Linked DNA regions of Kluyveromyces lactis. The protein of the gene in region 1 interacts with the protein of each later gene in a biochemical or structural test. Links are inferred from orthologs where the notes say so. Each region holds a gene or a part of one and is shown on either strand. Other genes may lie near its edges.

The links. The genes of interacting proteins can lie anywhere in the genome.
Region 2: the proteins of KIP2 (region 1) and BIK1 form a complex in vitro, tested with the Saccharomyces cerevisiae proteins (2 studies listed by BioGRID). The link is inferred for Kluyveromyces lactis from reciprocal best matches to the Saccharomyces cerevisiae genes KIP2 and BIK1.

What each region holds. Positions count from the first base shown.
Region 1 is NC_006040.1:507,928-512,480, forward strand, and holds KIP2 (Kip2p), read left to right. Parts: upstream 1-1,785; coding exon 1,786-3,792; downstream 3,793-4,553. Other genes in the region: PEP4 (proteinase A), read left to right, coding at 1-857. UniProt on the Saccharomyces cerevisiae protein: Required for assembly of the mitotic spindle.
Region 2 is NC_006039.1:110,904-114,748, reverse strand, and holds BIK1 (Bik1p), read left to right. Parts: upstream 1-1,983; coding exon 1,984-3,204; downstream 3,205-3,845. Other genes in the region: KLLA0_C01496g (uncharacterized protein), read left to right, coding at 1-1,216; HIS4 (trifunctional histidinol dehydrogenase/phosphoribosyl-AMP cyclohydrolase/phosphoribosyl-ATP diphosphatase), read left to right, coding at 3,566-3,845. UniProt on the Saccharomyces cerevisiae protein: Required for nuclear fusion, chromosome disjunction, and nuclear segregation during mitosis. Probably required for the formation or stabilization of microtubules during mitosis and for spindle pole body fusion during conjugation.

The DNA.
Region 1 (4,553 bases):
CAGAATGTGGTTCTTTGGCATGTTTCTTGCACACCAAATATGACCATGAGGCTTCTAGCACTTACAAAGCTAATGGTTCCGAGTTTGCTATCCAATATGGTTCTGGTTCCCTTGAAGGATATGTGTCTCGTGATTTGTTGACCATTGGGGATTTAGTGATACCTGACCAGGATTTCGCTGAAGCTACCAGCGAACCAGGTTTGGCATTTGCCTTTGGTAAATTCGATGGTATTTTGGGGTTGGCTTACGACTCCATCTCTGTTAACAGAATCGTTCCACCAGTGTACAACGCTATCAAAAACAAACTTTTGGATGACCCAGTGTTTGCCTTTTACTTGGGTGATTCTGACAAGTCTGAAGATGGCGGTGAAGCTTCCTTCGGTGGTATCGATGAGGAGAAGTACACCGGTGAAATCACTTGGTTGCCTGTTCGTCGTAAGGCTTACTGGGAAGTCAAGTTTGAAGGTATCGGTTTGGGTGAAGAATATGCTACTTTAGAAGGTCATGGTGCTGCTATCGACACCGGTACCTCTTTGATTGCTTTGCCAAGCGGTTTGGCTGAAATTTTGAACGCTGAAATCGGTGCAAAGAAGGGCTGGTCTGGTCAATACTCCGTTGATTGTGAATCTAGAGATAGTCTACCAGACTTAACTTTGAATTTCAACGGTTACAACTTCACTATTACCGCATACGATTACACTTTGGAAGTCTCTGGGTCTTGTATCTCTGCATTCACTCCAATGGACTTCCCAGAACCAGTTGGTCCCTTGGCCATTATTGGTGATGCCTTCCTACGTAAATACTACTCCATTTATGATATTGGTCATGATGCAGTTGGTTTGGCCAAGGCTGCCTAATTGTTAAAAAAGCGATCGAATTGTAACCTTTTGAATTGGAGTTCAGCTTCTATTAACTCGACAACTCTAAAAAAATAATTAAATAAGACGGTTAACTTACTGCTATATTAATTGAATGTCAGTTTCACAAATCGAATTAGCTAACAAAGTATAACAACACTTGGTGACAAATAAACCTTAAAATACCTAAAAGAATTCTTTCCTATTTCATCATAAAACAATTGTGTTCCTTCCTCTAAATATATAGACGATGGACATTATTCAATTGGCTTTGGCTTTGGCTACCTATAAATGATTCATAAAATGTCGATAAATTGCCTTTATCAGAATCTCTTTTTCATTTCTCTCCCAAAATTCAAGTATCGATTTTAGTTACATTTTTTTTTATGTTACTTTCACAAGGTCTGTTAAAAGTAGTGAATATTTCTATAGTAGAATAGGCCTACCAAAAAATTCATATATATTTTTTCATTTTATTTGGAGCACATGCCACTCTCAACTTCTCTGATCTGTCAGGCGCCTCTTGATCCGTTCTTGATTTTGTTAACGTTGGTGTCGAGATGTGTGTGAATTGCCAACTCTCCTTGATGAAGATAGTTCTCAATTATAACTCAAATAGGTAATTTGTCAACATAATAGACATATTTCGATATCTAAAAAAAATGATAGTAAGATGAGACACAAGGTCAAACACTAATCATTAACAGTAGTCTGACATTTATCTATTTGCCCATACATCTGTCCCTGCATAATATATATGGCCTTGCTTCACATTATCTTCACTGGATCAGCTTCATACTCAAAATTTTCGTACTGTTATTATTTGTGATTAAACAATCATATTAGGACACAATATTGGATTACGCAAGGATTTGCATTGCAACGAAAATATAGCAGAGTAACACACCCTTGAGATAGCCAATCGATCATGATTACCAAACCAGTGGCACTTCCACTCCATACATCATCGTACAATTCACCCAAAAGATTGATGAGACCTCCCAGCACACCAAATCTAAGAACTTCATCAACAGTAAGGCCAAGATCAACTTCCTCGTCATCTTCGAGTCAATGTTCTTCACCAGCAAGAAGTTCTTCTACGAAGGCCGCTTCTCCAATTCGTGGCGGGAGAAGTTCATACCAGGGTACCATTTCGGTAGGGGTAAGAATCAAGCCTACTCATGGAAAACAAGATTCTTGGCACGTAAATAACAACTCCATTATTCATGAAGAGTTTGGGGAATTTAACTTCGACCATGTTTTCAGTCCGGAGATGAATAACGATCGAGTATATGAGACTATGGCATTGCCTATGATAGATAAATTATTCGAGGGATTTAATTGTACAATTTTCGCTTATGGTATGACTGGTTCAGGTAAGACATATACCATGAGTGGATCCAAATCAGGTCCTGGTATAATACCCATGTGCGTTGACACTATTTTCGATCGTATCAATGTGGGATTACCTCGCAAAAAGTTTACTGTCAGAGTATCCTATTTGGAAATTTACAACGAGAGAATATTTGATCTATTGAATTTACCACAGGGCAAAACTTTAAATAGCAATATTATGGTGCCCAGTTCGACATTGACTAATGATCTTAAGCTTCGAGATGACTTGAAATACGGGGTTAAAGTTGTTGGTTTAGTTGAGAGAAATGTTAGCAGTAATAAAGAGTTAATGAAGTGCATATCGATTGGAGATCATAACCGTAAGACTGGAGAGACTGATTTTAATACAAGATCCTCTAGATCTCACGCTGTGGTCCTTATCCGTGTATTCTGCACCGATGAAATAACTGGCGAGCAAGTGATGAGTACATTATCTCTGTGTGATTTAGCTGGGTCCGAAAGAGCTACGGGGCAACAAGAAAGAAGGAAAGAGGGAGCTTACATCAACAAATCGTTATTAGCTCTTGGAACAGTGATATCTAAATTGAGTATGGAAAGTTCGGGCCTTTCTACAAATGTAGGCCATATTCCATACAGAGATTCCAAGTTAACAAGAATATTACAACCTGCACTAAGCGGGGACTCGTTAGTCGCTACCATATGTACTGTGGATACAAGGCCCGAGACAAGTACGGAATCTATCAATACGATACGGTTCGCCAGCAGGGCAAAAAACATCAGTTTGGCTGTAAAGCGTAACGAAGCCGACAGCAACGTAAGCAAGAGCCAATTAATCCAAACATTGCGGAAACAAGTACGAGAACAGCAAATAACCATCGACAATTTGACCAGGGGGAAAGGTTTCATTGGATCCGGAATAAGTTCAGATACATCACTACTAAGGGAGAACGAGCTTCTAAAGATGAAGGTAGAACATTATGAAAGACTGGAAACGTTAGAACCTAGTATCTTGAAAGATACCGAATTAGTGGAAATCATTGACATGCTCCCACAGGATATTGGTGTGATGTTAGAGACAAAATTGGTCAACATGGACTCTCAATTACAAGAGTCGAAGAGGTATATATCACAGCTAGAGAGTGCAAGGACTCGAGATGCTTCTGCCACTGCAGCCACTGCAGAGTTGCTGTCCAATGTATCAGATATCGATTTGACACAAGTGTTACATGAACAAGAGCAAGAATTGATGCAGTTGCATCAATCTCTTGAAAGGAAGGATAAAATGATAGAAGCGTTGAAGAGCGCGAAGAGACTAAGACAACAACTTGCAGAGTACACGGGAGAAGCTGTGTCTGCTACTGACTCCGACATTGAGATTGGAACCGCAACTGCTGCTAACGTTCTCAAACCGATATCGCCGAATGCCAGCGATTTGAACAGACAAGAAAGACCAATTACGATTGGAAGCGGTACAAGTATCACAACTACCAGCGACAGCAGCGGTACTGGCAGTGATTACCTAAAACCCGTACCGAAGTACTCCATTGCATCAGATGTATTTCCGAAATCAGTTCTATAGGGTGTCTAACAGCAGAAACACCCGATTTCACATCAAAGAAGGTCGAGCATTCTGCTGAAGCTCGAATGTATGCACCTTGCAACGCTTCGAGGGTCTCAAAAACACGCTCTTAGAAAAACTAGCACTGAGGAAAATCAAAAAGAAATTTTATATCCAATTTCACCCGGCAACAAAACTAGATAGGAAAGAACTTATGAGTAACAACATCTTCTAAAGACAAAAAATACGAACCTACAGAATCAGTAAGCAACGGTTAATAAGTAACACATAGACACAGAAACACACCTGCTTCTGTTTTTGTAATCTTCCTTTCTCCCATTTTATCTTCCCTCGAGGTCTCCCAGTCCGGACTGCGAAACTTCCCTAATTTTTTCATTTTTACGCTTTTTGATTTACGTGATTTTCTCGTGGAACATGTCTTATTCCTTACTCCCTGTACCTCAATTGGGATTTCCGACTCTTGCCTGATCCCCAATAACAGTCGGGGATATTATTCGGGCTGTGTCCTGCGCATGTTTTAGTGTTTTTTATCAGCAATTTGGTGTATTATTTCGATTTTCCTTTGATTTTCCAAAAGGAACCACCAATAAATCGAGGAATGAAACTAGATACGTTAGTTCTGTGCGAACCTTTCTGTGACTTTTTTCATAACTTCTCTCGCTTTACAAAACAAGGCTTCGAGAAATAAAGTTGGGGTAACCAAGTTTTTCTGAAGAAAGTACCAAAGGAAAGCATAATCACATTTATAAACACACACATAT
Region 2 (3,845 bases), on another chromosome or scaffold:
TACTTCTGTCCCAAGTGATGAAGTGAGTTCCAGAGATACAGTAACCGGCAGTGTTACTTCAGTTCCTTCAAGCACAGCTTCATCAGACTCGACTTCAACGGATACTGTTCCATCAAGTTCAGAAACATCAGAATTGGAGACATCAAGCTCGATAAGCTCGCCATACTATGGTAACACAACTCTAACCGACTCTATTCCAACTTCTGATTTCGGATCTGAGGTAACTTCAAGTATAGTTCCTACCTCAGAAGTCGATTTAACGTCTATTGGAGAAACTTCTACCTCGTCCGGTGCTCTTTCAAGTGAATCATCTATCCTATCCACCTCTTCTGATGGTACTTCAGAGGGTAATTCCGCTCCATCTTCCATACAATCGTCTACCTCTTCTTCTTCTGAAGTTACTTCTACTCCATCCTCCACAGAGTCATCTACTTCTTCTATCTCTTCTGAAGAAACCTTGGTCTCATCCGCTACAGAGTCATCTACTTCGTCCACCTCTTCTGAATATACTTCTACCCCATCATCTACAGAGTCATCTACTTCTTCCATCTCTTCTGAAGAAACTGTGGTCTCATCCGCTACAGAGTCATCTACTTCGTCCACCTCTTCTGAAGTTGCTTCTACCCCATCATCTACAGAGTCATCAACCTCTTCGACAACTCCTACTTCTACTTTGGCCAGCACAACAGCAGATTCTGCAGCTACCACAACCGCCGAGGCTATTTCTGATGCCGATCGCGAGAGTGTTTTGAACGCCCATAATGAATACAGAGCTAGACACCAATCCACCAATCCATTAGTTTGGAATGAGGAATTAGCCGCATATGCTTACGATTACACTCAAACATTGTTCGGTAGCGACAACGATCCATGTAACTATAAGCTACAACACTCTGGTGGTCCGTATGGTGAAAACTTGGCTGCTGGTACTAACTCCGATCCAGCTGCCTTAGTTGGCTTGTGGTACGATGAAATCAACTACTATGACTACAACAATGTCACTGGTATCTCTCATAACGGTCATGATGTTGGTCACTTCACTCAATTGGTTTGGGCTGCTAGTACTGACGTCGGATGTTCTGTAACAAAATGTTCTTCCGGATCCGTCTACTTGATCTGTGAATACTCTCCAGCCGGTAATGTTAAGGTTGTTGGTGGCAATGACGCTTATGTGTTGTATAAGCAAAACGTCAAGCCGTTATTGGAGAGCAATTAGGAAACCCTGTCCAAAACTTGGATAACAAGATCTGATCGATAGCTCTTTTTATGATGGCCATATTAAACACACCTCGATAGAATTGAATAAACCCAACAGCTCCAACCTTCTTCGTTGAATGTATGTTTTCACATTGGTCTTTGCACCAAGTAAGAAAAAACAGCTATTCTATCGTACTCATTGCAACCATCCTTCTGGATTTACTCATGGCCCTGGAGGCACTTAGAATATACCAGTGTTCAAAAGAAACACCCTAATGAAACCTAACAAAAAAGCCATCACTAATCACTTCTTTATTACCTTTTACCTTGTTCTAGTTTTACCAGTTTACCAATTTTCTTTAATGATATAATTACTGTATTGTAGCTAACGTCCGGAAAGTTAAATAGTGAACATCATTTATGAATACAATTACGAATAACTACTTTAGGAACCAGAAGCGGCTAGTTCTATTGCTGTTCAGCAGAATATCATCGCATGAAGTTCGCCTTGCTTTTTCATTTCTTGTTTGGAAGTCAAGATTCACGTGAAGGAGTTTTCTGTTCTATTTACCTTTTGTCATAATAACAATATTTACAGTCAATAGGCAAAAAACTAAAATCCTTAATCTATGGAGATACGATAGTAACAGACCTGAGGTAACGTTTCCAAATACCTTAATTACCAGTATTTTCTCAGCCTTTCCTGATTTTTCTTTGGTTTGGTAAATTTTTAAAACGTATGCCCAAAACACCTTCGTTTCACATCCCAACGGTCTATTTCTAGTGATGGATAATCAAGACTGTATAGGACTGGTAATTGAAGTTCCTAACATAGGTAGAGGGCAAATACGGTACATTGGCTCAGTAGAAACAAAGAAAGGAACATTTGTTGGTATCAATTTGTTTGCTGGCAATGGAAAAAACGATGGAACTTTCAGAGGCAGACGGTATTTTGAGACTTCTTTCCCTCAAAGTGGACTTTTTATCCAATGGGAAAAGATCGCCAACTTGATCCCAATACCTTCTAACCCTGAGGCAAATATGACCATACCACCTGCATCACCTACTCCCGTAAGGATTAACGCAAATTTTTTAGGGTATCATGAACCTCTTCAAAACAGTTTTCCTGAAATCAAGTCGCGAACTAGTATTTCAAATGTCATTCAACCGAATGACGATCCGATGCAAACTACTTCCTCGGACTTAAAAATGTTACAAACAGAGCTAGTTCAATACAAAAGACTAGTAGAGGATCAACGAATTGTATTCGAGGAGATCCAAGCTGCAATTGATGAATATGAGACTAAGTTGGATACCACAGAAAAGGAGAAAGTTCTACTTCAAAACCAACTCGACCATGAAAGAACGTCCCATCAGCGCCAAAAGCAGTTTTATGAAAGTGAACATGATCAGCTTTTGACTGTGATAGACGAGCTCCAATCTGAGATAAACCGGAATGCTGCCATATTAGCCGAGATTATGCAGAAGGAAAAGAAAAATTCCCTTGAAAATGATTATGTTATGCAAGATGAACCGAACAGTGATGCCCTTTTAATTAACGATTTAAGGGAACAGATACTAGAACTACAGCAACACAAGACTCAAGCTGAATTGCATAGGGTCCAATGGGAGAAAGAGAAGGAGCAACTGCAATTCCGTAACCAGTCGTTATCAAAAGAATATAAAAATTTGACTACTGAGATGACAGAGTATCAACAGAAATCCCATGATACAGAGACAAAAGAGTATACTCTCAACAAGGAATTAGACGATGCAAGGAAAAAAATTGGGGAGCTCGAATCCCGAGTCGAAGAATTATCCAAAAAACAGGAAGAAAATACACTTATTGTGGACAGTAACATTGAAACCTTGCCGTTATACAATCCAGGTGCCGAAGTAAAGTCAACTTTAGTGAATGCAGCTGCAGGGCGCTCGTTGTGGTGTGCTCTTTGCGAAAAAGACGGTCATGAATCAGTAGATTGCCCATACGACGACAAATTCTTTTAGAGTCAAAATTCGTCCCTTTTAATATCCATTGTTGTACTTGCATCATATATATAGCATACTTAGCGCATCATCATATAATGAATCATCTTATAATGAATTACCTACAGTCCATCAATCGCATCCGGACTTCTTCTTCGAGTTTTCATTGGCTTTCCTGTGTTTTTTTCATCATATGACTCATGTAATTCAGTGCATATGCGTTCAATCATATTTTCACAATCCACTGCAAAAATCAAGCCTCCTGGTATATAAAAATGAAAATATGAAATATGAAAAAAAAATAAGTTAGTCGTCATGCTTTATCAAATTTCGTTACATTCAGGACTGTCCACCTAAGACAAGAAGTCATAAAGCACCAGAAATGTTGCCTGTTGTACCTGTGTTCAATGCTGTCAATGCGTTGAAAGAAAAGACTTACCTTTACTTATCCAGTCAATTAGTACTTGATGGGAAGGATATGACTAAAGATGATATTTTGGAATTTGTTCAGAATAGTCATGGTCAAAATATTTCTGTTCTATTGAAAGACGCAAAATTTGAGGATGATGATCTGATTGTTCTATTGAATAATGGCGTTGTAACCTTGTTTATTGATTCTGATGATTATGCTGCTCATTTAGTTGAAATTGGGGTACCAAGCA